Stegostoma tigrinum: one gene and its partner. The protein of the gene in region 1 purifies or fractionates together with the protein of each later gene. This does not show direct contact. Links are inferred from orthologs where the notes say so. Each region holds a gene or a part of one and is shown on either strand. Other genes may lie near its edges.

What was found.
Region 2: the proteins of mmp2 (region 1) and col5a1 purify together in Homo sapiens (co-immunoprecipitation; 3 studies listed by BioGRID and IntAct, counting the BioPlex papers as one, with this or other methods). This does not show direct contact. The link is inferred for Stegostoma tigrinum from reciprocal best matches to the Homo sapiens genes MMP2 and COL5A1.

Annotation. Positions count from the first base shown.
Region 1 is NC_081369.1:21,839,546-21,855,117, reverse strand, and holds the start of mmp2 (72 kDa type IV collagenase), read left to right. Parts: upstream 1-7,487; 5' UTR 7,488-7,697; coding exon 7,698-7,850; intron 7,851-8,842; coding exon 8,843-9,069; intron 9,070-12,185; coding exon 12,186-12,334; intron 12,335-15,572.
Region 2 is NC_081382.1:44,675,808-44,692,120, forward strand, and holds the start of col5a1 (collagen alpha-1(V) chain), read right to left. Parts: upstream 6,050-16,313; 5' UTR 5,926-6,049; coding exon 5,826-5,925; intron 1-5,825. UniProt on the Homo sapiens protein: Type V collagen is a member of group I collagen (fibrillar forming collagen). It is a minor connective tissue component of nearly ubiquitous distribution. Type V collagen binds to DNA, heparan sulfate, thrombospondin, heparin, and insulin.

The DNA of each region.
Region 1 (15,572 bases):
TTTGAAATTGAGAGAATATCTTCCAGATCTTGTTCACAAATCCATTTTTCTCATCTGTCCTTTACCAGCTGCTGATAAAGGTCCACTAGTATACTCTTAAGTCTGCTCATTTTATTTGCGAACTCTGCAGATTGCCTTTCATCTTTAAATGTGATTTTATCATTGCAATTGTGAGTAAAGCAAGGTATGCAAAATTCTCGAAACTTCATTAAGTTTCAATGCGTCTGGCTAAAAATGGCAATTCTCAGGTGGCGCATTTCACATTTTTTGTCGGGTTGTTAAGTAATTATAGATGCCATTTAGGTCATAAGTGTCCATTTTAAAGCCATGTTAGTCCATGAAAATGTCAGGTACTAAAGTCAAATGTTGAATAAAAACAGAAGTTGCTGAAAATGCTCAGCAGGTCTGGCAGCAACTGTGAAGAAAAACATCAAAGCTATCATTTTGGGTCCGGTGACCCTTCCTCAGAACCAAAATGATGAACTTTGAGTAGTGAAAGTCCATTTTCAGTATGATCATATCACAAAGTAAGCAAAAATAAAGTTGTAAAAGTGTCATTTTTACTTCAATTGTAACACTTCCATCATTGGGTCAGAAGTTGTTGGTTCAAATCTGGCCAGATATTTGGCCACGTAACATAGGACGTGAAAGCAGCAGTAGCACACACAAACGTTTCCTTTACTTTGAAGGATCAAACACTGGTATATTTAGAAAATGTCTAAAGTAAGTGGATTCCCCACAGCTTTCACTATATATGAAACATATTGTCTCGATATTGCTGGATCTGATGAAATGTTGCTTCACCCTCATGCTCCACTGTGAAATAATTTTAGCCCATAAGTTAATGGAAAAGAGGGGCATCTAGTTCATTGAAGGATGAGGGGGACAATTCATGTTTCATTTCCCACTGAGGCTTTAAAATGTTATATTTAATCACCATTTCCAAACATATTATGATTAAGTCTACAACAGGTGAAGCTTGAACGCAGAACTTCTCCTGAGATAGGAACATTACCACCACACCATTAGACACCACATCAAGGGCAACCTCATGATCAAGAAATAAACAGGATTAAGTATTGTCATGTCAGATATAGAAAGAGCCATAAAGAGAGGGAAAAAGAGACTGATTAAGAGATTTTTTAAAAAGCATAACAAAGAAAATTAAACCTACAATGTCAATAATCTCTAACAACAATTCTGTACTGACAGGACTAACTCCTCAGTTTAGGTTGTTCACTTTCTTAGCTAAGTCTCAATGTTTAAAAAAAAATGTTTTGACTGTTAGGTCCCACTCCTAAATTTCTAGACTTCATTTGGTAATCAATATGCAAACACAGCAGTTTTGTGAAACCCGCAAGGAGATTCAAATCAAGCTGTGGTTCCTCTCTCGGGAGTGGGCATTTCAATTCATAGCATTGTCTTCCTTATCTACAGGTCTTGCACACTTTATACATTAAGCATGGTGTATGTGTATTAATTTCACCATTATTTAGGCAACAAAATTTGAGCCCATTATTTGCTTAAAAATAGCAATGTCTGTAAAACACATAAAGGCCTATTTATTCTGATGGTCAGATAGTGACTGGAACAGTACAGACAGGAGTTGTAAATACATGCAAACTCATGTCTGGGCCCTGAGGGATCCAGCATGCAAAAGATTCTGTGAGAATTGTTCAGGAAATTGACAATTCAAATGGACAATTCCCCTATGTTCAAAACCTCAAAAAGAAACTATTAAAGACAGAGAATTTGGAGGATTCCTCTTCAGTTAAGAATCATAGAATTTCTACAGTGTGGAAACAGTCCACTTTTCCACTTTTAATCCTGCCTAAACCTTCAATTCCTCCTTACTCCGTATGTCAATCTGCTCAAGAACCTCATAGTTTGTTTTAAATTCATCTGAAAGATGTCGGCATCGCCAGCTGGCCAGCATTGCTAGCCCATCCCTAGTTGCCCTTGAGAAGGTGGTGGCGAGCTGCCATCTTGAACCATTGCAGTCCACCTGCTGTAGGTTGACTCACAATACCATTAGGGAGGGAATTCCCGGATTTTGATTCAGCGACCGTGAAGATATATTTCCAAGTCAATGCGGTCAATGGCCTGGAGGAGAACTTGAAGATGATGTTGTTGCCATGTATCTGGTGTCCTTGTCTTTCTAGATGGAAGTGTTCGTGGGTATGGAAGGTGCTGTCTGAGGGTCTTTGGTGAATTTGTGCAGTGCATTTACAGATAGTACACACTGCTGCTACTAAGTGTCACTGGTGGAGGGAGTGGATACTTGTGGATGCCGTGCCAATCAAATGGGCTGCTTTGTCCTGGATGTCAAGCTTCTTAAGTGTTGTTGGAGCTGCATTCATTCAGGCAAGTGAGGAGTATTCCATCACACTCCTGACTTGTGCCTTGTAGATGATAGACAGGCTTTGATGATTCATGAGGTAAGTTACTCACCACAGTATTCCTAGCATCTGACCTGCTCTTGTAGACACTGTGTTTTTGCAGTGAGTCCAGATGAATTTCTGGTCAATGATGATCCCTCGGGTGTTGATAGTGGGGGATTCAGGGATGGTAACACCACTGAATGTCAAGGGTCAGTGGTTAGATTGTCTCTTATTGGTGATTAAATTGAATTGAATTAAATCATTTATTGTCACATGTATTCAATACAAAATACAGTGAAAAGTTTATTCCAAGGCCATGCATTGGCACCATTCTCAAAATAAAATCAAAATAAAGAAAGGTAACTTAAAGAGAATCCAACTTTTCCTTCTCCGTTGCTACAGTCCCACACCGGGCTCCACCAGCCCATGCCATGATGCTGCCAGAGTCCCACTTTAGGCTTCACCAGCCCATTCCATGCCACCACTAAAGTCCCACTCCAGGCTTCACAGGCCAGCCAACTCTATAGCCATGCTGCCACCTTCCTGCTGAAGGGCTCTCTTTATCAGATAAATTTAAGCAAAAGCTACAAAGAAGCTGAGAAAAGTAGACGAAAAAGGAATGGAAAAACAGGAGTGCCTGGGGACAGGAGGGCAGACGTTGCCTACTCCGCAAAAGTAGCAATTAATAAGATTGTGAACGTTGATAGAGATTGATAAGAATGTGAATGGCAATGGATGCAGTGGAAAGTATGAGGTTTCTTCCCAGGAATCTAGGGGATACTGGTTCAAGGTGTGGGGGGGATGTTTAAGAGGGATGTGCGAGGCACATTTTTCACACAAAGGGTGGTGAGTGCCTAGACCGTGCTGCCAGAGGAGGTGGTGGAAGCAGACACAAGAGCAACATTCAAGGAGCACCTGGATAAATACATGACTAGGAGGGGAATAGAGGGATACTGATCCTGTAAGTGAAGACAGTTTTAGTATGGAAAGGCAAAATGTGTCAGCACAGGCTTGGAGGGCTGAAGGGCCTGTTCCTGTGCTGTTGCATTCTTTTGTTCTTAGTTCCACCACCATTATCCTGGTTATGATCATCTTGTTGCTCATAGCCTGGCGTTTGTGTAGCACGAATGTCATTTGTTACTTGTCAGCCCAAGTCTGGACATTGTCCAGATTTTGTTGCCTTTGAACACAGACTAGCTCAGTAACTGAGGAGGCACAATGGTGCTGAACATTGTGCGATCATTGGTGAACATCCTCACTTCTTACCTTATCATGGAGTGAAGATCATTGGTGAAGCAGCTGAAGATGGCTGGGCCAGGATATTACTGTGACGGACTCCCGCAGAGATGTCCTAGAGCTGGGATAACTGACCTCCAACAACCATGATCAACTTCCTTTTTTCCAAGTACAACTCCAACCACTGGAGAGTTTTCCCCAGATACCCACTGATTCCAGTTTTGCTTGGGGTCCTTGATGCCACACTCAGCCCAATGTAGCCTAGATGTCAAGGGCTGTTATTCTCACCTCATCTCTGGAATCAGCTCTTTTGTCTACGTTTGAACCAAAGCTGTAATGAGGTCAGGACCTGAGTGGCCCTGGTGGAACCCGAACTGGGCATCACTGAGCAGGTTATTGCTGAGCAGATGCTGCTTGATAGTACTGTTGTTGACACTTTCCATCAGTATATTGATGATCAACAGTAGGCTGATGGGATGGTAATTGGCCAGGTTGGATTTGTTTTGCTTTTTATGTACAGGATGTACATGAGAAAATTTCCACATTGTCAGGTGAATGCCAATATTACAGCTGTACTGGATAACAAAGAGTGGAGCTGGATGAACACAGCAGGTCAAGCAGCATCTCAGGAGCACAAAAGCTGACATTTCCGGCCTAGACCCTTCATCAGAGAGCAGTTGTACTGGAACAGCTTGGCTAGGGGAGCAGCAAATTTGGGAACGCAAGCCTTCAGTACTATTGCTGGATGTTGTCAGGGCCTGTAGCCTCTACAGTATCAATTGTCTCCAATCGTTTCGTGATATCACATTGGAATGAATCGAATTGGCTGAAGATTGGTAGGTGTAGTGCTGGGGACTACTGGAAGAGGATGACTTGGATTATCCAGTCAACACTTCTGGCTGAAGATTGCCGCAAATGTTTCAGCCTTATCTTTTGCATAGATGTGCTGGGTTTTTCCAGCATTGAGGATGGGGATATTTGCGGAGCTTCCTCCTCCAGTGAGTTGTTCAATTGTCTACCACCATTCACGACTGGATGTGGCAGGACTGCAGAGCTTAGATCTGATCTACTGGTTGTAGAATTGCTCAGTTCTGTCTGTCACCTGCTGCTTATGCCATTTGACATGCACGTACAACATAGAGTGGAGGTGGAGGAACACAACAGGCCAGGCAGTATCAGAGGAACAGGAATGTTGACATTTCAGGTCGGGAACTTTCTTCATAAATATCTGAACCTGAACCGTCAACTTTCTTATTCCTCTGACGCTGCTATGTTCCTCCAGATCCACACAGTGTTGTCTCTGACTCCAGCATCTGCAGTTCTTGCTATCTCCTAAACATGCAAATAGTCCTGTTTGGTGACTTCACAAGGTTGGCAAATCATCTTCAGGTATGCCTGGTGCTGGTCTTGGCATGCCCTCCTGCACTCTCTACTGAACTACGGTTGATTCCCTGACTTGATGGTAATGGTTGAATGGAGGGGAGTATGTGAGCCATGAGGTTGCAGATTGTGCTGAAGTACAATTCTGCTGCTGTTGTGGCCCCCGGCACCTCACAGTGCCTCTTCCTGAATTCTGTATCTACATTCTCCTTCCCCTGAGTGAAAACAGATGTGAAGTAGTCTTTTAATACTCTACCAGTGTCTGCCAAATCCCATGCCCTTATTGTCCCTTTGGTCCCTAATGGGTCCTACTCTTCCCCTGATTATCATATTCCACTTGATATGCTGTACAATATCTTGGGATTCTCCTTCATCTTCTCCACCTGTACTTTGTTCTTTGCTCTCATAATTATTTAATTTCCCCTAATCATTTTCTATACTGTACTAAGGCCTCCATTTGTATCTGTCAAAAACCTCTCTTTTCCTTCTTATCGAAGGGTTTCATGGGCTTATTACACCTACATTTCATCATAACGGGAATATGTTGTGCTTGCACTCTCCCCAGTTCCTTTTTGAGCATCCCCCTACCCCACCTCCCATCCTGTGGATTTACCAAGAAGGGGTTGTTCACAGTCTACTGTGGCCAGGTTCTGCCTTAATTTAATAAAATCTGTCTTCCCCAATCCATATCTCTGTTTGCAGGCCAACATGTTCCTTTCCCATAACAAACTCATGATATTATACATTGTGGTTCACTAACACTAAAATGCTCCCCTATTGACACATTAAACATCTTCATTCCCCAGAATGACGTCCAGTACTGCATCATCCCTGTTGGACCTTCTAGATATTAAAAGCTCTCCTGAATACGTTGAATATAATTGAAGAGCAGAATACACCGAACACACTGACCCCTATAAACCCTTTACACGATGACTATCCCAATTAATACTTGAATATTTGTCTGGCCAACATGTAACTCCAGGCAACATGGTTGACTCTTAACTGTCCTCTGGGCAAATATGGATGGGCAATAAATGCTACCCAGCCAGCAATGCCCTCATCCCATGAATGAATAAAGAAAAAAAATTCCAGTATTGTATGAGATAACACAATGTGGAGCTGTTGGAACACAGCAGTTAAGGCAACATCAGAGGAGCAGGAAAGCCGACGTTTCAGGTTGGGATCCTTCTTCAGAAGCTTTTCTGAAACATTTCTGAAGAAGGGTGCTGACCCAAAACATCATCTTTGCTGCTCCTCTGATGCTGCTTGGCCCGCTGCGTTCCACCTGCACCATACTGTGTTATCCAGGATTGTATGGTTGTCGTTACTTGAACATGTAAAGATTAAGCAATGAGTTGGAACAGAGTGGGGTTGTACGTGCGACTCTCTTTAAAGATTCCTGTCAATGTACAAAGAACCAACCTAAATAGTTGGACGACAGTCCACATTAATGCCAAGTCTCAGCACTTTACACCTGCCTCAGCCCTTGTGCTGCCAATAGGTGTTGTCACTTCTAGGTAAACTGTGCAAAATGCTCGAAGTTTAACCCACAAACGGCCTTGAATGCACGGCAAATGCAGTATACTTTCCAGGAACAGCAATTGAAAATGATGCGTGAAGATTGCAGCCCCGTTCCTGTGTTGTAGCGAGCGGCCTCCTCCAGACCCTCCCACGGGCTGTGTTGGAGTTATTCGGCCAGCGAGCGATCCATTGCAGTTAACATCTGGCTGCATAAGCATGGAAAAAGATGTCTTGTCTGGCACACAAAAACACACAAAGACTATCTGGCGCCTCCAGGCTTGTGATTGTTCCAGTCATGCAACAAGTTTACAACACGCCCTTCAAATTAAAAATTGGCATTTTTTTCATCACTGCACTCTAGATTCTTAAAAAGGGTGGGTTTAAAAGTGCGAATCGTTTTAACAGGATTTTAATATACCCTTCATGTTTATATTGAGTATCAACACAATTAAGGGGCCAATATTACCCGTGCCTAGAATTACTTATTAATCATTATCTGTGGACTGAATGGTCAGTACATGCAGCTTTATTTCTGCAATTCTTCGCTTGAAAGATACATTTATACAGCGCCTTTCTCCATAACTGGATCTCCAAAAGTACATATGGAATGCGATTACTGTAAGGAAGAGATATTGCCTCAAGAGAAGAAAAATATCAATGGCGTACTTTGGGGTCAAAAGCCTGTGTCCTTTTGCAACCGATACAATTCTAACGTCTGAATTGTGAAATGAACTCAAAACCTGAGCGGTTTGTTTCACGTGTACTGTTTTTTTTTCGAAATATGATGGGAACATTGTTGCTTTCTGACAATTTTGGTGCATTTACCCAACGATCATGCCTTTAAAACAAAACTCGTTCATTTTCGGAACAGTCTTGTTTCCAAATATAAACTTGGGGCAGCCCCAGTCGCCAGAGAATGCATTTCCTTCGGTGGATTTTTTTTCAACTTCCGCCAGTCCTTCTGCTCTAGCAGATCGGTCGCGTCTGCGCATCTGGAAGTACAAAGGATTTCAGTCGGCAGGGACTCAGCTAAGAGCGGCACATAGTTGCCTGAGACTAGCTGTGCTGGCAAAGCAGAGAAACACTGCATAATGTTTGTGCAGTGAAGGATATCGCAGAGACACCACAGCAACGGCATTTCTTTTTGATAAATAGGTGCTCTCCCACTGGAAGAAAATGACCATGGAAACAAGCGGCAACTTTTATCGCTTAGTCTTAAAAGTAACCTTGCTCCAGATCATCTGGGTCCAGCAGACTTTAGCGGCACCGACTGGCATAATCAAGTTTCCAGGTGATAACAGCACGAAGACAGACAAGGAAATAGCCACTGTAAGTGTGGGGAGACGTTAACTTTCTAATGCCCGGCTGCCTTGCAAATGGCGTTTTATGTTAAGTGGTCGTTTTCTTTAGCTTTCACAACAGCTGTTGAAACGAAGGAAGCGATTACTTTTTCCCCCCTCAGTGGCTCCAGGGCATCAAAGTTTCTTAAAAGTCTAGAAGAGAGAACGCCACGGGGCTTGATAACATCTGTTCGTTTTGGCAAGGCAGGGGACCTTGCATGTAGACAAAACAAAACAATTATAGATAAGTGGAACCTCACATTGTTTATCTAAGAGCTATCCAATAGCTTAGTGATAGGATTAATCTTATATTTCAATGAACACAAGGGCAGGACTAAGTTTAAAAAAAATTTGGGAAATTAGTCACAAAACAAGTAGAACAAATGTAATCTTTCCATATGCCTACTGTGTCCGTATATATGTTACAAAACATTTAATACGTGTCAAATTAACAATGTACTTTGGATGCTAACTTATTGCCATAATTTAATAAGCATCCATACAAGATCCCGAAAGTTTGTGGGTATTCTAACGGTGTCTGTGCTGAAAAAATAATGGCATAAATCCAACTGCCTCTAGGATTACAGAAACACGTGACAGATTTCTGCAGGCTATTAGCCAATGAAAGTTGGCTTTTGGAGTATCAAGTTATGAATATACTTGAAAACGTTAACGTCAAGCGCACTACAAGTTTCAAGAAGTTAACACAAGAAAATCAGGATGTCTGTTTGACTTATCAAGTCCTTATAACACAATATTAGTGCAAAATGAAATCTGCAATGTAAATAAGAATTATAATGCATTTAAAGTGGTCAGCCCTCAACTTTTGAATCCATTCAGAATTTCTCAAATACACCAGCAAAGTTTGCCACAAGTTCAACCAACACAGAATCAGAGCATTTTCAACTAACTTGTTAATGTCTGTCTCAAAATCTTTAATATTTTACCTATACAAACATATTTCTTTATATTTTATATTAGTTATATTTGAATAAATTCTATGGCTGCCCGAAAGAAAGGTGTGATCTTGTGGTACTGTCAGACACACTGAAGAAGATGCAGAAATTTTTTGGATTACCACAAACTGGAGAACTGGACAGTGAGACAGTAAGTGTGATGAAGAAACCGCGGTGTGGAGTTCCTGACGTGGCCAATTACAACTTCTTCCCACAGATGCCCAAATGGGAGAATAAGCAAATAACTTATAGGTAGGTGTGTATAAACATGTGGAGTTTTCTTCGGTGTGTCTTTTAATCACTTATGTAACTGGTAAGACGGTTTCATTGGGATTGTTTCAATATTTAAAGTTTTCAAGAAGATTTGTAGCTCAGATGAGGTTGTAGACATGCTTGCTGAGCCGGTAGGTTTGGTTGCAAACATTTAGTTACCTTGCTAGGTAACAACTTCAGTGTGCCACCAGTGAATGCAAAAACACCAGGCAACTCCAGACTAGCCACTGTATAGAAAGACCACACATACAGACCGAATACTCAATTACACTAGTGATCACCTCAGTGCCCATAAACAGAGCTGCATCAGGACACTATTTAAATGAGCCACAACACATTGCAACAACCCAGAACAATGCAAAGTGAAACAGAAGCACATATATGGAGCCTTCAAAAGGAATGTACTCTCGAAAAGCATAATCCACTGTTACCTCCGAGACAGATCACAATGGGAAGACACAACATGACCAGAATCACTAATCACCCTACCATTATTCAAAGATGACAACAAGACTACTCAGACCCTTGGGTATCAGGGCAGCCCACAAACCAGCAACCATCCTGCGACAGCTGCTGACAAATCTAAATGATTCTATACCCAAAACCAGTGTAATATATAAAATACCATGCAAGGATTGTGAGAAACACCACCTGATCAAACTGGAAGAAAACTGACAATAAGGATACATGAACATCAGCTAGCCGCCAAGAGACACCACCAGTTCTCACTTGTCTCGCTACTCACAGACAACAAGGGACGCAATTTTGACTGAGACAACACATCCATAATAACACGAACCAAGCAGGGACACACCAAGGAATTCCTGGAGGCCTGGCATTCTAACGAACACATTGAATTAGACCCAGTGTACAAACCAGAGAAACAGAACCAGAAGTGGTACGAAACACCCCAGCAAACTGAGGCAAATAAATAACCAGAGGCACACTGATGATGTTACCAAGCAGGGTGATGAAACATTTGCAACCAAATCCACTGGCTTGGCGAGCATGTCTAAAACTTCATTGTTTCAATATGCTGTAGGGAAACGAAAATAGTTTTTGATTGATTGTTGTATTACTCTGTTATTTCAAAATTGTTTCCTTGAAGGAAAGATATTAATTGTTTAATCGGTTGTTTCATTAAATGCATCATGAAAATTGTAATAGAAAGCAATAATAATATATTTAAAGGAGGACTTGGTGAAACGTAATGTGAATTTAGTCCTAAAATAAGAACGAGAACAATTTTCAGTAGATATCTTGAGTAACAAAGACTATTTACAGCTGTTTTTTAGACTATGAAAAATGTTCATTCGAAATTTTGCTGAAATATAAGATTTATCCAGAGCCTCCGTTAGGACCAAATAGAATCATAGAATCCCCACAGTGTGGAATCGGGCCATTCAGCCCATTTAGGTCACTGACCCTCCAAAGAGCAACCCATTCAGACACACTCTATCCCTATAACCCTACATTTCCCATGGCTAATCCACCTCATCTGCTCATCCCTGGATACTATGGACAATTTAACCTTGGCAATCCACCTAACCTGCACATCTTTTGGACTATGGGACGAAACTGGAGCACCCAGAGGAAACCCATGAGACACGGTGAGAATGTGCAAGCTCCACACAATTGGTCATCCAGGGGTGAAATTGAACCTGGATTCTTGCTGCTGTGAAGCAGCAGCGCTAACCACTGAGCCACCATGAGCATTCAAGCTAGAAGAGTGGTGATCAGACACATTTCAAGCGAAAAGAGGAGTATGATAAGTTTGTGTACTATCACCAAAATTAGTCGCTGTACACAGTGAACAAATATACTTCTCTGAAAGGGTCATGAATCTGCTGAATTCACTACCCTGGAGTAGAGTGATTGCCAGTGCACTGAATAAATTCAAAGATTAGATAGATAGACTTTTAATTAGTAAAGGGTCATAGGGAGCGGGCAGAAAAATGAGGCCGAGATAAGATCAGCTGTGATCATGTTAAATGGCAGAACAGGCTGCAGGGCATGAATTGCCTACTTCTGCTCCTAGTTGTTAAATAATTAGCGGATTAGATTAACTTCTATGGATGATGAATTGGGCAAGAATATAACAGACTGTGGTATGCTGATGACACACCACTTCTTGCAGAATCAGAAGAGACCCTACAAAATGTTATAGATGCAGTAAAATTTTGAGGCTTAGCCAGTGGATTGTGTACGAACACCCAGAGGGCAAATAAAATGTTACTCCGATGGAATACAAATGTACTAGAGTGAAGAATGAAGTTGATGGTGTCACACTGGAATAAATAGATACTTATCTGTACTTATCAAATGATAACTGCATTTGGCAGATGCAGTGCCCTAGTTAGGGTAACAACAGAGGTAGACAGAGGTAATTTTGTAAAATGAAGGTTTTATTCTCAACATGAAAACTTTTGTTTGTAACAAGAAATGAACTCTCAAAACTCTCCTATATGCCTAAGGAAGCTGGACAGCACATCATGATCTGTGGAAGAAAATAGAGTCCTTTTGAAATGTGAATGCTGAGAACATAAGCTAAAAATTGGATAGACAGATCATAAGACAAATGAAAAGGTACTTGAAGTTTCAAGAGCTGTGACACTCTTAAAGAGTGACATTCAGAAAATAAAATGTCACTCTTTCAGCCATTTGGTCAAGGTGAAAAGCTGCAGGAATTGCCTTAGAGGGCAAAATGGAGGGCAGCCGTTGGAGAGGTCACCCTGGGGTATTTCAGTGATTGGGTGTCACAGAGCAGTTACAGAGAAGGAACAGTAGATTTGTGAGGATGGTGCAAGACAGACAAACATGACGGACCACAACATGAGCTCTCCTGGCAGGAGTAGCCAAGAACAGAAACAGCAAGGTACAAATCAATGAACTTATGAAAAGTATTTCCTGTTACCACTTAAGGAAAGAAAAGACTTGCAGTCAACAATGTGCCAAAAAGGATTTGTTTTTGCTTAAAATAAATCATTGTATCACTGTAAATTCTAATGGGAGTTATGAGAAGGATTTCTGTCATTGCTGCCTTACATTACTGATTAGGCATATCAAGCTGAGCTTCTGCTGCTTATTCCTTACAGGATTTTGGGATACACTTACGATCTGGACTCTGAGACAGTGGATGATGCTTTTGCTCGGGCCTTCCAGGTATGGGCTGACGTCACACCACTGTCATTTTCAAGGATCTTCGATGGAGAGGCAGACATCATGATCAACTTTGGCCGTTGGGGTAATAATTAAATTTCTTGAAACCTAACACAGATGTTGGATTATAAATATTCAACATGGCTTTTGTCAGTGATGTCTAAATGGGACTTTTATGTGGTGCTTCCATATAAGAACACTTAATCCAAGTATTTGTCAAACACTTTGTGTTAAGCAGATGTTTTGGACCCAGACTTCTAAGAGCATAAACCTTGTATGACCAGTGGAATTGTGACTGCCAACATCCACCAGCATTGCAATTTTCTGTATCAGGAGGAGAGGATCTACACTGTATGGTGCAAACACTATTCTGGGTACATCTGCACCACCAGCTTGTCACATCTATTTGAAAGTTTTAGTTTCCACTTGCCATTGGCAAATGCTGTCCAGATCCTACTTCAGTCAAGTTCAAAAATAAAATTCTGGAGTTGCTGTAAATCTGAAATAAAAACGGGAAATGCTGAAATATGCAGCAGGTCAGACAGCATTTATGGAGAGGGAAAGAGAGTTAATTTTCAGGTCAGTGCCCTTTGATTGGAAGGTCACCGACATGACACATTCATTCTTTTGTCAAGACAAATGTTCCTTGGTCCCCACATTAAGGATGTGGATAAGGACATTAATCATTTTTTTAGATGTATTCTGTGTGGACGGCTGTGTGTGTGTTTTTGGAGAGAAAGGTGGTAGTGTGCACAGGGAAGGTAACAATGCTGCTAGCCTGGATTCCACAGGTGGAAGTCAATATGCCTGACCTTCCTATGGGCTTTCACTGATACACTAAGTAGTACTATATCTTCAGGAGTAAACAATTCTTCAGAATAATTTCCTTCATACGGGGCAGGTAAAGGTATTGGCCAATATAAGGTAATAAGAAAATGCCCATCCCAGTCTATGCTACTTATTTAGAGATCTCTCAGTTGCGATGTTGAATTATAGTGGTAGACTTGGGGAGGCAAAGTGCTTAAACAATGCTAAACACTTCTGCCAAAGGCATGGCCAAGACTGCTAACTTGATTTGCAATTATCAATTGTACAGCCAAATCATTGACACTAGTTGATTCTTGAAAGTGGTGCAATGGCTCATTGGATAGCACTGCTGCCTCACTTCACCAGCGACCAGGGTTTGATTCCACCCTCAGGTGTCTGTCTGTGTGGAGTTTGCACATTCTACCCACGTCTGCATGGGTTTCCTCCCACAGCCCTGAATGTGTAGAATAGGTGGATTGGCCATGCTGAATTGCCCACAGTTTCTGGGGATGTGCGGGTTAGGTGAATTAGCCATGGGAAATGCAGAGTTACAAGGATAGGCTAGGGGGGTAGGTCTGGTTGGGGATACTCCTCAGAGGGCCAATGTGGACTCTGGATCAAATGGCCTGCTTCCACACTGTAGAGATTTTATGATTCATCTTGAATAATTATCATAACACCTTTCAAAATCTTTTGCATGCAGATATTTTGTATTATTGTTCCTATTTCAAGCATGAATATTTTTGAGTACAGTCTTAATCTCAAGTCATTTTTATAAGAAAAGAAAATGCATGTATGAACGTAAGAAAATGATGGGCAGCAGAAATGCATCCAGCTTGATCCCCATAGTTGATCTGTTATGCAGATTTTAATAGAGGTTTTGTACCCATGTGAACTGATATAATTTCCTAGAAAAGGCAAGAAATCCAAATGAAAGACCAAGCCAAATTCAGGAAAAAGCATTGAAAATTCCATTCTTGCTTCTTTAGTCCATCAGAACTAGAACAGGAGATCATATTGCCCATGACTGATGTTACAGGGCATCCATATCTTGTACAAAGCAATGCCCACACCAGCCAGCAAGTCTAGTCTTTCATGAAGGCTTACAGAAAATCATTGCATGCTAATATGAAGCAAAATACTGTGGGTGATGGAAATTTTAAGTAAAAACGCAGCTCCTCTTATCTTCATTTTGTTCCTGCCCCCTCCACCCCTACTTAGTCTCTTTTATCTTGATTTTTGCTTTCAGCAGACCTGACTTATATTCTCTCTATGAACACCTACTAGTAGCATCTGCTTTGGACCTCTCCTTTGCATTCATTATCACTCCCTTTGCCTTTTGTTCTGTTACACCTGAACTGTCCAGCCTCCCTTATCCTCTAACCTTTCCCTGGTCTTTCAATCTGTTACACTGCCCATCTTTTCCACACACAGAACTCATCCTTTTCCACTCTCTCTTCAATTCTGAGGAAGAGACAGAAAGAACTTGAAATGTTAACTCTGTTTCTTTCTCTACAGATACTGCCAGAACTGCTGACTTTCTCCAACACTTACTGTTTGTATGAGCTGGCAAACTGTTCCACTGATTCACTGTTTTTCTGGAAAAGGAGGGCTGACTAACATCAAACCTAGCTTTGTACTTATGCAAACTGTAACTAGCCTTCCTATCTATCCAATTAAAAACAATGACACACGGAAACTCAAACTATTTCTCACATTATTTTATAAACATCGATCAAATCATCTCTGTGTCTAAAATGTTCTAAAGCAAAGCTTATCTAGTCTAGTCAACCCATTTAAACTGGGAATTAATCTGTCACTTCCTTTGCATGTTTTCCAAAACTGCAACATTTCTCATCATGTGAAGAGGTCAAAGTGGAGCACTGTCTTCTAAGACTCTAACAAGGTCTTACAGAAGAGCAAAATTGTATGCTTTGCTGCAAATTGTCCTATGATTGCAACCTAGAACCTTGTTTGCTTCAGCTGTAGTTTCACAACACTGATCATGAACCTTTCAAAAGTGAGTACAATATCTCGCTTTTTCATTTACCGTTGGCTGGAATATCATTTCCTGCAGCAAAGATTCTCATATGCATAGGAGAGATAACAAGGTGTAAAGCTGGATGAACACAGCAGGCCAAGCAGCATCAGAGGAACTGGAAGGCTGACGTTTTGGGCCAAGAAGGGTCTAGGCCTGAAACGTCAGCCTTCCTGCTCCGGTGATGCTGCTTGGCCTGCTGTGTTCATCCAGCTCTGCACCTTGTTATCTCAGATTCTCCAGCATCTGCAGTTCCTACTGTCTCTCATGTGCGTGGCATCTTATTTTTCTGAGTAGAGCATTGTTTGCCAAATGTGGGTCTATTTCAATGAGTTGGAAATCTTCTTGAAGCTGTTAAGTATCCCTTAGGAATCTACCTTCACACAGCTTTATGTCTTCCACAAGCTTGCATACCATATCCCAAACACTTTGTACAATAGAACATTGTAAGGGAAACAAACACTAAAGTTAATGTAGA
Region 2 (16,313 bases), on another chromosome or scaffold:
TCCTCTTGTATCACCCCACCAACCTCCGGATACAACACATCATCCGCCGACACTTCTGCCATCTGCAATGTGTACCCACCACCAAAGACATTTTTCCCACTCCACCCTTATCTGCTTTCTGGGGGTCCACTCTCCCCATGACTCCCTTGTCCGTTGCATGCTCCCCTCCAGCCCCACCACACGCGGCACTTTTCCCTGCAACTGCAGGAAATGCTATATCTGCCCCTACACCTCCTCCCTCACCCCCATCCCAGGCTCCAAGAAGACTTTCCACATCAAACAGATGTTCACCTGCAGATCTGCTAATGTGGTATACGACATCCGCTGTTCCCGGTCTGGTCTTCACTACATCAGGGAAACCAAGCGGAGGCTTGGGGACCGCTTTGCAGAACACCTACGCTCGGTTCGCAATAAACAACTGCATCTCCCAGTCGTGAACCATTTCAACTCCCCCTCCCATTCCACAGGTGACATGTCCATCCTGGGCCTCCTGCAGTGCCACAATGATGCCACCCAAAGATTGCAGAAACAGTGCCTCATATTTCGCTTGGGAACCCCGCAGCCCAATGGCATCAATATGTACTCCACAAGCTTGAAAATCTCCCCTCCCCCTACCACACCCCAAAACCAGCACAGCTTGTCCCTGCCTCCCTAATCTGTTCTTCCTCTCACATATCCCCTCCTCCCACCTCAAGCCACACTCCCATCTACCTACTAGCCTCATCCTGCCCTCTTGACCTGTCTGTCCTCCCTGGACTGACCTGTCCCCCTCCCTACCTCCCCACCTACACTCACCTTTACTGGCTCCATCCCCACCTCTTTGACCTGTCTGTCTCCTCTCCACCTATCTTCTGCTCTATCCATCTTCTATCCATCTCCCGCTATTTATTTCAGAACCCACTTCCCCTCCCCTATTTCTGATGAAGGGTTTAGGCCCAAAACGTCAGCTTTCCTGCTCCTCTGATGCTGCTTGGCCTGCTGTGTTCATCCAGCCTCACATTTTATTACCAATTTAACTTGCTGGTTACAGAGATAACTACCCAATCCCAGAACATAATATGCTCCAAATACAACATCACACTTACCTTCCTCTGCCACTGTCACATACTTATACTCATGCACACACACAACCACACAAATGTGCATGTGCACACCCATTGGTGCATACACAGACACACGCATACACACACACTCATACACGTGCATACACGTACACACATTCACACGCACATGCAAATATATATACTCACATATTCACGCGCAAACACATACTTGTGCACACAGACAGGCGTGCACACATGCACACACATATATGCATGAACACATGCAAGCACAAACATGCACACATGCACGCACACCCACATGGATGTGCACACACACTTGTGCACATACTCACGCGCGCACACATACACACACACACACACACACACAAAAGCACATGTGCAAATGAGCTTTCTCTCACACACACAGTGCAAGCAAGTAGCTCTATACGCGTGTGCACATGCACACTCATGCATGTACATACAGAGGCATACATGCATATGCACATGCACTCACACATACACAAGCGTATACACACATATACACACTCACATGCACACACACATACACACGTATACACACACATATGTATACACACTCATGCACACACGTACACAAGCGTATATATACACACTCACATGCACACACGTACACAAGCGTATATATACACACTCAAATGCACACAAGCGTACACACACATATACACACACTCATGCTCACACACACATGTATGAACAAACATGCGCGCGCGCACACACACACTCACATGCATGTACACACAGACACACACACATGCATGCAAACACGCAGAGAGAAACACACACACACACACACACACACACACACACACACACACACACACACCATCGTCATTGTTGGTCCTTCAGAGATGAGGATGGTTCACTTCCACATTCAGGGTGAGTCTTTAAGTGGCTGTACAGACTGGTGCAGCTTCCGCAGCCTCTGTTACATTTGGGGTAGGTGGTGATCACAGGGAGGGCGGGGGGTGGGATTGGTGTGGCAGTGCGCTTCTTTCGCTTGACTTCTGCTTTTTCCTGACGGCAAGTCTCGACGTGCTCGACACCTTCCCGGATGCACCTCCCCGACTTTGGGTGGTCTTGGGCCAGTGATTCCCAGATGTCTGTGGAAATGCTGCACTTTGCCAGTGAGGCCTCAAGGGTATCCCTGAAGCACTTCCTCTGTCACCTGGGGTTTGCTTACTGTTTCAGAGCTGGGACCAGAGCACCTGCTCGGGGAGTCTTGTGTCGGTTGTGCAGACAACATGCCCAGCCCAATGCAGATGATCAAGGGTGGTCAGTGTCTCGATGTTGGGGATGTTGGCCTGATCGAGGAGGCTGGTGTTGGTGTGTCTTTCTTCCCAGCAGCTCTGCAGGATCTTGCACAGGCAGCATTGATGTACTGCTCCAGTACTTTGAGGTGTCTGCTGTAGACAGTCCATGTCTCAGAGCCACATGGGAGGGTAGGGACCACTACAGCCCTATAGGCCATGAGCTTGGTGTTGGATCTGATGCAGTTGTTTTCAAACACCCTTCTCCTCAGGCACACTGCTGAATGTCCTCATTAATTGCTGCTTTGGCCAAGAGGACACTCCTGAGATATTGGAAGTGGCCGATGTTTTCTAAGATCACCCCATGGATCTTGTTGATTAGGAGGTTTGGTCTCCATTGCCTGGCCAGCTTGTTGGAGGACGTTTGTCTCGTACGTGTTCAGAGTGAGACTCATAGTCTCCTATAACTCTGTAATGGTGCTGACGATGACACACACACACACACACACACACACTCAACCATACAGTCAGGCACACGCTTACGCACATATATGCAATCACACACTTACTCAGACACACACACACACACACACACACAGTCACACAGACAAGATCGTGCTCACACAAATTCCCTGTTCCAGACAAACATTCGCAGATTTTCCTGTTCTCTTGATGGAACTTTGCTTCCCATTCAGTGTGTATGGGATAAAAAAACTCACGTTTGGGCCCTTGGGTTTGGAGTAACCAAACAAAATCACAGAGCCTGAGTGACTGGTTAGAGAGACCAATCAGGGTCACATAGTCTGAGTGACCAAATAGAATGACCAATCACAGACACACTGCCTGAGTGATCCATTAGCGTGACCAATCATAATCTCACAGTTTGAGTGACCAGTTGCTATGGGTTACAGATAAACATCTGCCCAATTTTACTTGGTCATTTCTCTGGCTCCCAGCTGGTCACCAGTTGCTCATGACAGAGTCTCTGGTCCTGGTCAATCTAAGGCACTCAGCTCAAAGGACAACGGCTGTGATTTGAACCCTTGCCCTGGGCTAATAACCCAACAGTTCACTCCCACCAGCCTCACCCAAATCATTTTCCTGCCCCCACTGAACCTTTCCATTCAACCCTCCCCTCACCCAAAAACACTGGCAACTGACTCTTTCAATCCTGTAACATGGTATCACAGGAACACGTCCAGCACAGAGCACACCACGGCCTATCGTGTCAGCACCAGGCTAACATTATTCTTCAATTTCCTGTCTGCCTGGGGAAGGGCCCACTCAGATAGGTGATGATCCGTCCTGAGCTGCACTGTCTCAGTGACAGCTTTCATTACACTGGGGTTGGGCTGGACAGAGTGGAAATCTCCCTGAGCTGGGAAGATGTGAGAGGCCAGTCTCCTGGTTCAAGGACACAGAGGGTCAGTGCTGTCCCCATCCTCTCATCCTGAAAGTGGCAGGACCTGGTTCAGCTGTACTGTCTGCTTTTCAGAAATTTCAAGCTAGCAATAGCCCTTTTATCTGTTTGAGACTTGGCTTTATCGGTTCATATTTCAAAGGCAGTTACCGTCTCAAATGTAACCAAATCCCAAAGGAAATCTAAATCCAGGCAACTGCCTCTCTTCTGTAACATTCTCCTCCATTACAGGAGACAGAGAAGGGAATGGATTGAGAAGTATAAAATTATGAGGGGAACAGAGAGAAAGAGATTCTTCACTTTGGTAGAAGAATCAGTGACGAGTGTGATAGAGATTGAAGGTAAAGGGTGGGGGGCTGTGAGGAAAAGCTGTTTCACCCCGTGGGTGGTAGGAATGTGGAACTCACTGGCTGTAAGGGTGGGAAAGGTAGAAACCCTCATCACTCTGAGGGAGTATTCAGATATATACTTGTAATACCAAGGCAGACAAGCTGTAGTCCACTGAACAAGTAAGGACTGCGGGTGCTGGAAGCTAGAAGCAATAAATATGGAGCTGGAAAAGCACAGCAGATCAGACAGCATCCAAGGAGCAGGGATGTCAATGTTTCAGGCTGAAACCCTTCATCAGAATTGAGAAGGGGAGGGGGAGACCAGAAATTAATAGCGGGAGGATGGGCTGAGGTGAGGGTAAGTGAGATGGAGATAGGTGGATGCAGGTAGGGGATTATTGTGTTGTTCAGTGGGAAGGGTGGAGCAGATAGGTGAGTAGGAAGATGGACAGGTTGGGGGTGGAGAGATTTTGAAGCAGGTGAAGTCAGTATTCAAGCCATTCAGGGAAAAGGGCCCAAGGCGCAATATCAGGAGTTGTTCTTCCAGTTAGTGTTTGGCCTCTCTCTGATAGTGGAGGAGGCCAAGGATGGACATGTCACTAGGGGACTGGGAGGGGGAGTTTTAGCATGTGGTAACTGGGAGGTCGGGCTGGTTGCATGCAGAGGGCAGATGCTTCGCAAACCGGACCCCGAGTAGGTGCCTGGTCTCCTCAATGTAGAGGAGGCCACATCGGGAGCAGCGGACGCAATAGATAAGGTTGGATGAAGTGCAGGTGAATCTCCACCAGATTCCAAGTGCTGGAAATGGGACTAGAAGAGTTAGGTGGTTGCTTTTGACCAGCGCAAACAAGATTGGCCAAAGGGCCTTTTTTGTGCTGTAGATTTCTCTGACCCTATGCATAGGGAAATTATTCCCTCAATCCCTGTGATCAGGATCTCATTGGGACCTCTCCAACTCCCAGTTCAGCAGAAATGTAGACTGTAATTCACTATGATTCACTTAAACTGCAACATTCACTAACACCGTGAAGAATCACACTGGCCTGGAAAGGTAACACTGCTTCTCTCTGTCCCTCTCACTATCTGCCGCGGCTGCCAGACCTCCTGGTTTCAATTCAGTCATCAAGATGTTCTCATAACTCATCTGTAACTGGCCTGAACCAATGTCCAAATGCAACCCCACACCCCAGGGCTGTTCTCAATCTCCCACTTTACAAACTCTCCAGCGCTGTCCCAGGAGGCTATTCAGTTTTGGGGGAGATGCTGAGGCCGGTGTTAGAAATGGGATTTGTGAAATGGTGACTAGGGACAGCAGGAAGCATTGTGTCTGGGAACTGACACTAGGTACAGAGAAAGCCAGCAGCCCGTTCTAAAGCTGATCCGGAGAGACACAAAAAGAATTCTTCCAAATTAAACATGAACGCGGACAGAAGAACAAGCAAGCTTTCTCGGGGAATTGATTGGTTAAGGCGAGCTGTGTCAGAGCCGAGTCTGAACAGGGATCCGGGGGAATCTTATCTCACAAAATAAAAATCTTTTTGAAAAGGAATGCACTCAATTCAAACCAACTAATGGACTCCACATTGAGACTGTGTAGGTTGGGGGGTTGGGGTGTGGAATTGAGAACTTGTCTGATTTAGTTCACTTGCAATCCTAAACCAATGACTTCGGAGGATTTTTGAATGGAGTTTGTAGCCGCTGAGCTCCTGGCGAGAGCAGTTTGGGTTCAGAAACAGTCTGCACTTACCTGCATTTACATAAGTTATTACTGAGAGGATGAGGATTTGTAAAGTTACAGCACAGTCCCAAACCGTTCTTGCTCTCCTCCACCGGCTCCGGTTATCCATATCGTGCACAAGCTGCTGCTGTCACCAGCCCAGTTACGGGGAGGTGGGGTGCAGTTACAATGTCTGGGGCGGAGTGGGGGGGACCAGGAATTCAGGGGCTGGGGTGCACACAGGCGTGATGAGGTGGCGGGGGGGGGGGGGGGGTGGATGATATCTATGAAGCCATGGGGGATTTGGGTTCTCTTCGGTCTCCCAGTCCCAGCTCCTGGCGCCTCTCTGTTGCCTCGGCAAACTGGCCCTTCTATCCCCGAGCTGACAGCAAAACCTGGTCTCTCTCTCACACACACAGTTTCCTGGAACTGAACAATTCTGCAGCAACAAAAAGCTGGAACAAGAAGAGTTTGGTGGTTTGGGATCTCGCCCCCCCCCCACTCACTGCCCACTCAAACTCAAAGGGCTGAGACCGCCCAGAACAGCCTGCACTTTATTGGGCACTTAAGGAGGGAGGGCGCTGGAAACAGACCGAGAACTGAGGCTGCAATTTCCAACTTTGTTGTATTTCCATCAACCAACCGGAGAGGCCGCGTCTGAAGCGGCAAATTTAAGCACTAAACAATACACCATCGAACAAATACAAACCCACAGGATTCCCAACTCACACAGGATGCCAGAACAAACAGGATCCCAACATACTAGATCCCTAAACGCAGGATTCCAACACACAGAGGATCCCAATACACAGAAGATCCCAACAAATTGGATCTTAAAGCAAAGGATTCCAATAACACAAGAACTCCATGCAGAGTCCCACCACATACACACGATCCAAACACATACTGGATCCTAGTACACTGCATCCCAACACACAAGATGCCAAATGTACAATCACACAGGATTCCAAACACTCTAGATCCCAAACACAGGTTCTATACACATAATTTCAGACAGGATGCCAACACACAGAATCCCAGTCACAAGATCAAAAAACACAGGATCTCAAACAGAAGGTCCTGAAAGACAAGATTGCAAAGGATTCCAAACACAAGGTCCCAAAACACCCAAGTTCCCATAGCAGGATGCCAAGTGGATTGTGAAGACACAATTTCACACACACCTTTATTTATTCTGTACCTTTGATCCTTTCTTCCGCTGTCAGTTTGTCTCAATATCTTTCACTCTCTATATCTCTCAGTCTGCCTCTCTTTCTCTCTATCTCTTGCATTCTATCTATCTCTCACTCTAGTCTGCATCTCTCTCTCTCATTATCTATCTCTCTCTGTTTGTATCTGTCTCTGTTTCTAGCAAGTTTTGAGAAGATTTGTAGCTCAGTTTGAGGTTCTGGATGTGAGTTTGCTCGCTGAGCTGGAAGGTTCATTTTCAGACGTTTCGTCACCATTTTTTTATTTGAAAAAATATACTTTATTCATAAGATGTACAAAAAATAAAACATATTTACACACCTACCCAGTCATGCAAGCCACTCCGGGTTACCCAGGGGGTACATACACCAACTAAAGGAAAAAAACAAAGCAAAAAAAAACAAAGCAAAGAAAACACCCCGGCAGTTGTCACCCCGCACAGTCCCCGTTGGCCCCCTGACCAGTTGGGGAAGGCGCCAGCTAGGCCCAGTTACCAGATAGGGCCCTTTTTTCTATTCTGGACGAGGGGTTTCATACCATGGTCTTTCCCCACCACGCCTCGGCAGCGGCTGCCCCAAGCTTTAGCGCGTCCCTCAGCACGTAGTCCTGGACCTTGGAGTGCGCCAGTCTGCAACACTCGGTCGGGGTCAGTTCTTTCAGCTGGCAGACCAGCAAGTTGCGGGCAGACCAAAGAGTGTCTTTCACCGCATTGATGGTCCTCCAGGCGCAGTTGATGTTGGTCTCGGTGTGCGTCCCTGGAAACAGCCCGTAGAGCACGGAGTCCCGCGTCACGGAGCTGCTCGGGACGAACCTCGACAAATACCACTGCATCCCCCTCCAGACCTCTTGCGCATAGGCACACTCCAGAAGGAGGTGATCGACAGTCTCGTCCCCCCCGCAGCCACCTCGAGGGCAGCGTGCGGTGGTGCAGAGATTCCGGGCATGCATAAAGGATCTCACTGGCAGAGCCCCTCTCACCGCCAGCCAAGCAATGTCCTTGTGCTTGTTTGAAAGTTCTGGCGATGAGGCATTCTGCCAAACGACTTTGGCAGTCTGTGTGGGGAACCACACGACGGGATCCACCCTCTCCTTTTCCCGAAGGGTCCCGAGGATACTATGTGCTGACCACTGCCTGACGGCCTTGTGGTCAAAGGTGTTTCCTTTCAAAAATTTCTCCACGAAGGACAGGTGGTACGGAACGGTCCAACTACTCGGAGCGTTCCGTGGCAACGAGGCCAGGCCCATCCTTCGCAACACCGGGGACAGGTAGAACCTCAGTAAGTAGTGACACTTGGTGTTTGCGCACTGAGGATCTACGCACAGCTTGATGCAGCCGCACACAAAGGTAGCCGTCAGGGCGAGGGTGGCGTTAGGTACGCCCTTTCCCCCTATCCCAGGTCTTTGTACATGGTGTCCCTGCGGACCCGGTCCATCCTCGACCCCCAAATGAAGTGGAAGATGGCCCGGGTGACTACAGCGGCGCAGGTCCAGGGAATAGGCCAGGCCTGTGCCACATACAACAGTACCGAAAGCCCCTCGCACCTGACAACCAGGTTCTTACCCGCGATGGAGAGGGACCGGAGCGTCCACCTGCCCAGCTTCTGCTTCAATTTGGTGATACACTCCTCCCAGGTCTTAGTGCACGCCCCAGCTCCACCAAACCAAACACCCAGCGCCTTCAGGTAGTCTGTCCTGACGGTGAAGGGGATGAAGGAGCGGTCGTCCCAGTTCCTGAAGAACATGACCTCGCTCTTACCCCTATTGAGTTTGGCACCCGAGGCCAGTTCAAACTGGCCGCAGATGTCCAATAGTCTACTCACCGACCGACGATCGGTGCAGAAGACGGCGACATCGTCCATGTACAGAGAGGTCTTGACCTGAAGGCCTCCGCTGCTTGGGATAGTCACGCCCTTCAGGCTCACGTCCTTCCTGATGGAGGCGGCGAAGGGCTCCACACAGCACACGAACAAGGCAGGAGAGAGCGGGCAGCCCTGCCTGACTCCAGATCTAACAGGAAAACTGTCTGATTCCCACCCGTTGATCGAGACTACGCTAACGATGTTGGCGTAGAGCAGCCGGATCCAATTGCGGATGCCCTCCCCGAACCCCAATTTGGAGAGGACGTCCCTCATGTAAGCATGAGAGACCCTGTCGAAGGCCTTCTCCTGGTCCAGGCTGACGAGGCAGGTGTCCACCCGCCTGTCCTGTACGTAGGCGATCGTATCCCTGATGAGCACGAGGCTCTCAGCGATCTTCCTGCCCGGCACAGCACAGGTTTGGTCAGGGTGAATCACTGACTCCAGGACAGACCTGACCCGGTTGGCTATGACCTTGGCCAGGATTTTGTAGTCCACGTTTAATAGTGAAATGGGACGCCAATTCTTAATTTCTTCCCTCTCCCCCTTCCTCTTGTAAATGAGGGTGATGATGCCCTTCCTCATGGACTTGCACATTTCCCCTGCCCGAAGCGCACTATCGTACACCTCCAGCAGGTCCTGGCCGACCAGGCCCCACAGAGCGGAATACAGCTCGATCGGTAAGCCGTCGCTTCCGGGAGTCCTATTCCTCTCCAAGGACTTGAGGGCTCTGGTCAGCTCGTCCAGGGATATCGGCCGGTCCAGCCACTCCCTCGTGCCGTCATCTAAGACCTCCGTAATAGATGACAGGAACGACTCGGAGGCCGTGCTGTCCGTGGGCTTCGTGTTGTACAGTCCGCCATAGAAGGATCTGCTGATCCTCAAAATATCGGGCCGAGACGACGTCATCGAGCCGTCGTCCTCCTTCAGCCGGCTAAGCACAGAGCTCTCTTTGTGCACCTTCTGAAAGAAGAAACGCGAGCACGTCTCATCCTGCTCCACGGAGCGGACCCTGGACCGGAAGATTATCTGGGAGGCCTCCGCGGCGAAGAGCGAGGCTGGCTGGCCCCTCACCTCGCGGAGGTCCTCTGTGACATCGACCCCCATCAACTGCAGAAGGAGCAGGTTCTGCACCCTTTTCTGGAGTCGCAACTGCTTTCCCCGCCTCTCTCTTGCCTTCTGAACACCCTTGAGGACAAAGAACCTCTTGATGTTCTCCTTCACTGTCTCCCACCAGTCGCCCGGAGACTCAAAGAGGGGTTTCACGGTTCTCCAACCGGCGTACTCCCTCTTAAGCTCCTCGACGTTCTCTGGGGTCAACAGAGTCGTGTTGAGCTTCCACGTCCCCTTGCCGGCCGGCTGGTCGTCCTGCAAGTGACAGTCGGCCAGCAGGAGGCAGTGGTCAGAGAGGAACACCGGCTCGACGCCGGTGGACCTGACCGAGAGCGCCCGTGACACAAACAGGAAGTCTATCCTTGAGCGGATAGACCCGTCTGGCAGCGACCAGGTGTACCTCCGCTGCGCTCCGTCTGCAGGGGTGCTGAAGACGTCGAGCAGCTTGGCGTCCTTCACCCTGCCCATCAGGAATCTGGACGTGACGTCCAGTTGACTCCCCCCACCCACTGTCCCCACGCCGGATCTTCCATCTGCATCGATGATGCAGTTGAAGTCTCCGCCTAGGATGACCAGCCTGGACGTAGCCAGCAGGGGTGGAAGCCGCTGCAGGACGGCCAACCGCTCACTACGTACCGCTGGGGCATACACGTTGATCAGCCTCAGGGGAGCGTTCCTGTAGGTGATGTCAGTCACTAGGAGGCGCCCCCCCCACCACCTCCTGAACTTGAGAGATGGTGAAGTTGCGCCCCTGCAGCAGAATAGCCAGGCCCGAGGAGCGACAGTCGTTACCCCCTGACCAGATCGAAGGCCCACAGGTCCAGACGCCGGACCATTTCCCATACCTGCCGAGGTGCGGTATCCTGCACTCCTGCAGAAACAGGAGGTCCGCCTCGATGGTGGTCAGGTAGGCCAACGTGGATACACATCTTGCGGTGGACCTGACACTGCGCACATTAATGCTCGCAACTTGTACCCCCGTTGTGGGCAGTGACCGCAGTACCCTCCCCAAGTCCAAGGTCCAGCCCCTCCATCTGTCCCTTCATGCCCATTGCCCGGGCTAACTGCTGGACGCTCTCCGGGCTCAGGAAACCATCTGTGCTGCCTTCCGGGTGGCATCCCCCCGTCAGGGGTGTGGAGGCAGGAGGGTCCGGCTCCGGGTCAGGCTGGGGACGCGTTGTTTCCTCCTCCCCGCCTGGAAGTTCCGGGGGGCCCTCCAGCGCCCCAGCGGCACTTGACTGGGTGTCGGAGGGAGTCTCAGGACGCCTCCCGTCACCTGGAAGCGGGGTGCTGCTTTCCTTCTCCTTCGAGATCTTTAATTTCTGCTTCGGGTGGGCCCTCTCCAAATCCCCCTCGTCAGAGAAGCTCTTATAGCCCCCCTGTAGTTGCCTCTTCCCGCCTGATGGTTGCGGTTCCTGGGCCCGTCGACGCACCTTCCTCCTCGCTTTCCGGACTGTTGTCCACTCCCCCGGTCGCCTGTCGCCGCCTCCATCGACTCCGGGTTGTCGGGGGAGAGCGGAGCCTGCAGGGGTGCTTTGCTGGCCTCGGGCCCATCCTGCGGGGCTGGGCCCTCCTGCACGGCCTGGCCCTCCTGCACATTAGTGGGGTCCTTGCTGGGCCCAGGTGCCTTCCTCTCCTCCGGGGGGGGGCTGGCCCCGCATTGCCCCTGCCGGCGACCTGGGTGTAGGTGGTCCCCCGCTGCGGGCATGCCCTATAGAGGTGGCCTGCTTCCCCGCAAAGGTTGCAGCTTTTCTCTTGTGGGCAATTCTCTGCAAGGTGTCCCTCCTCCCGGCAGTTCCTGCAGCTGGTGGCTTTGCAGTCTGCCGCCACGTGACCTGACCTACCACAGGCATGGCAGACTTTAGGTTGCCCTGCATAGGTCAGGTAGCCCTTGCTCCCGCCGATCGCGAAGCTGGATGGTGGGTGTACGACATTCCCGTCTGCGCCCATCCTCAGCGTCACCTTGACCTGCCTCTTACTCGTCCAGATGCCAAAGGGGTCCATGATGTCAGTTAGGTCCCCTTCCACCTTCACGTACCTTCCGAGGAAGGTCAGGACATCAACTGCAGGCACATGCGGGTTGTACATATGTACAGTCACCATACGGCTCTTCTGCGCTGGCATCACAAACAGCAGGACAGCGGTCAATACAGAGAGGGGGGCCTCACCTCCTTTCTCCTTGAAAACCTCCAGGAAACGCTCGCAAAGCTTGGCACTCCTGAAGGTTACATTGTAAAAACCTCCTCCGGGGAAATCCTGCAGGCAGTAAATGTCCACAGCAGTGAATCCACAACAGTCCAACAGGACCCTCTTCACGAAGAAGGTGCGGTCCACAGGTGCACCTTCATCCACCTTCTTTACGGAAACACGGATGGTGTTCCGGACCCCCTGACCTGGAGCACGAGCACTTGCCGCAGCCATCGTTGCAGGTTGGCTGCTCCCCTGAACCAGCGTTAGGCCGAAGCCAGCATTAAGATCCACTGGTCGCAAGGGTGCACAGCCAACCCGACGTCCTCCTTTCACCTCCAAGACAGCACTCTCCTCCTCTCGGTCCACAAGAGAGCAGGTCTTTATTATGTTCCAGATGTAAGCTGGTTCACTGAGCTTGCCGGTTTGTTCCCAGACGTTTCGTCACCATTCTAGGTAACATCATCAGTGAGCCTCCAACAAAGCGCTGGTGTTATGTCCTGCTTTCTATTTATCTGTTTAGGTTTCCTTGGGTTGGTGGTGTCATTTCCTGTGTTGGTGATGTCATTTCCTGTTCTTTTTCTCAGAGGGTGGTAGATTCGCTCCAAATCAATGTGTTTGTTGATGGAGTTCCAGTTGGAATGCCATGCTCCTAGGAATTCTCGTGCGTGTCTCTGTTTGGCTTGTCCTAGGATGGATGTGTTGTCCCAATCAAAGTGGTGTCCTTCCTCATCTGTATGTAAGGATACGAGTGATAGTGGGTCATGTTGTTTTGTGGCTAGTTGATGTTCATGTATCCTGGTGGCTAGCTTCTCTCTGTTTCTCTCTCTGTTCTTTTTTTTTCTCTAAATCTCACTTTCCCTTCTAACATCAGTCCTTGATGGTTTGGAGCTTAGGGAAGAGAGTGGAGGGTCACTGTCCCTCCCTCTGAATCAAGATGATGGCTGTGGAGCAGAGAATGGAAATACCTTGATCAGGAGAAGCAGGAGGGGATGGGAGGATGGTGTGTGGGGGATTGAATCTGAGGGATAGGGTGGTATTGGCTGGAGTGACCCTGCCCTCACTTTCACAGGCTGTGTCCTTTGAACACTGTGACAATGCCTCAGTCTCCAGAGACTAACAGCTCCCCATCTCTTCTCTCCTGCTCCTTGGGGCCGACTGTCCACCAATCCCATCAGATTCCTCCCACAAATCCTCAAATTTAAACCATTCTGTCCCAGATCCTTCTTATCAACTTGCTTTCTTGACATCTGCAGACAGGAGATCACTGTCTCACTGAGAGGGGATCCAGTCCTGCTGGAGGGAATGAGGGTCAAAATCCACCCTCAAATCCAAACACCGATTGAGGTAATGCTGAGCATTATTTAGATGGACAAAAAATCTGCAGAAAGCTACAGGGCATGGGGATTTGGGAGTTCTTGTGCATGAATCACAAAAGGCCAATATCCAAGTTCAGTGGGTAATAGGGAAGGCAAATGGAATGTTGAGTTTTATTCCAAAGAGAATGAAGTCCAAAAATAGGGGAGGCTTTGCTAAAACCATACAAGGAACCAGTCAGATCACAGTCGGAATGTAGTGAACAGTTTTTGTCCCGTGTATCTAAGGAAAGATAGACTGACTTTGGAGGCAGTGCAGAAAAAGTTCACTTGGCTGATCCTGGGTATGGAGGGACTGTCTAATGAGTAGAGGGTGAGTAGGTTGAGCCAGTACTCGCTGGAATTTAGAAGAATAAGAAACGACTTTATTAAAACACATAAATTCTTAGAGGGCTTGACAGGGGAGATGTGGCAAAGTTGTGTCCCCTTGTAGGAGAGTGTAGGGCTAGGGGCCGGAATCTAGAGTGAGGAGTTGTACATTTAAGACAGAGATCAGGAGAAAGTTATTCTCCCAGGTTAGTGAATGTGTAAAATTCTTTAGCGCAGAGGGCTGTTGAGGTATGGTCATTAAGTGTATTCCAGCCAGAGATAAACAGATTTTTAAATAGGATGGTTATGGGGAACAGGCTGGAAAGTGGAGATGAAGATTGTCATATCAGTCATGAGCTCACTGAATGGCAAAGCACACTTAATGGGCTGAATGACCTCCTACTGCTGCTATAGTCTCATGAGGCACTTTATCAAATGACATCGTGAAATTTAAGTACAATACATTCACTGGTTCCCCTTTATCTACAGAATGAGTTACTTCTTCAAAGAACTCTAATAAATTGGTTAAACATGATGTTCCTTTCACAAAAGTGTGTTGGCTCTGCTTGATTACAAAGAACAAAGAAAATTACAGCGCAGGAACAGGTCCTTCGGCCCTCCAAGCCTGCACCAATTCAGATCCTCTATCTAAACCTGTCGCTTATTTTCCAAGGATCCGTATCCCTCTGCCCCCTGCCCATTCATCTATCTGTCTAGATACATCTTAAATGACACTATCATGCCTGTCTCTACCACCTCCGCTGGCAATGCGTTCCAGGCACACACCACCCTTTGCGTAAATAACTTTCCACGCTTAACTCCCTTAAACTTTTCCCCTCTCATTTTGAAATTGTGACCCCTAGTAATTGAGTCTCCCACTCTGGGAAAAGCTTCTTGCTATCCACCATGTCTATACCTCTCATGATTTTGCAGGCCTCAATCAGGTCCCCACTCAACCGCTGTCTTTCTAATAAAAATCAACTCTCTTCATAGCTAGCACCCTCCATACCAGGCAACATCCTGGTGATCAGAGATAATGGGAACTGCAGATGCTGGAGAATCCAAGATAACAAAATGTGAAGCTGGATGAACACAGCTGGCCAAGCAGCATCTCATGAGCACAAAAGCTGACGTTTCAGGCCTAGACCCTTCATCAGAGAGGTGGACCTGCACATCCTGGTGAACCTCCTCTGCACCCTGTCCCAAGCATCCACATCCTTTTGGTAATTACGTTGAACTTGTCCTAGTGCTCTGTTATAAGAACTTTAATAATTACTTCAAACATTTTCTCTGCGACATTTGTTAAACTAACCTGCTAGTACTTTCCTGCTTTCTGCCTCCATCACTTTTTGAGTAAAGGAGTTATATTTTCTATCTTTCAAATTAATGGGACTGTCCCAGAATCAAGGGAGTTTTGAAAAATTAAAACCAACGCATCAGTGATCTTATGAGGTAACAAAGTGTGGAGGTGGATGAACACAGCAGGCCAAGCAGCATCTTAGGAGCAAAAAGTTGACGTTTCGGGCCTTGAAGGGTCTAGACCCAAAACGTCAGCTTTTGTGCTCCTAAGATGCTGCTTGGCCTGCTGTGTTCATCCAGCTCCACACTTTGTTAACTCGGATTTTCCAGCATCTGCATTTCCCACTGTCTCTGATCATCAATGATCTTATAGTCAGTTCTTTCCAAACCCTCAGATGGAAGTCTGTTGGAACCCAGTCTGTCACAATTTACTCAGTACCACTTCCCAGTGATTGTGATTTACCTGAGGTCCTCCTGAAATAACTCCATGACAGCTAGGATCCCATCACCAAGTCACTCTTTATTTACAAAAGAACAGTCCTTGTCTCTAGCACTGCCTCCTCAGAGTCAGCTCTCAGAGGTATCTTTTACATTCCTCTTTTTTATCTGTTGGTCAGGGCTCCCTGATTGAACCAGGTTAACAGCTCCAATTCAGGAATTCATATTCTATGATGTCTAGCTGGGTGACCCTGTGACAATCACTACATACCTCTGCCTCTGGGTCCAAGGACATAGGCTGATCCTTTTTCCTGCAGAGTCTCCTGGGGCACTTTAGCACCAGGTCAGATTCCTCAGGCTTGACATCCAATACGGGCAGCATGTAATGCACAGGGGCTCAACACGTGCTTCTTCTGGCAGCAACAGCATTCAGGCAGCTACATTGACCATGTCCTATCTTGATTCTGCGCACTTGTCAAACCTTGACAGACAGGGTCAAGGAGCGTGTCCAGTGGAGGTTAACATGGATGATCCCTGGAATGCTAGGTTTAATGTATGATGAATGGTTGAGGATCCTGGGATTGTATTCATTAGAGTTTAGAAGGTTGAGGGAAGATCTAATAGAAACTGACAAGATAATGCTTGGCTTAGAAAGGGTGGACGCTGGGAAGTTGTTTCCGTTAGGCGGGGAGACTAGGACCCGTGGGCACAGCCTTAGAATTAGACGGCGT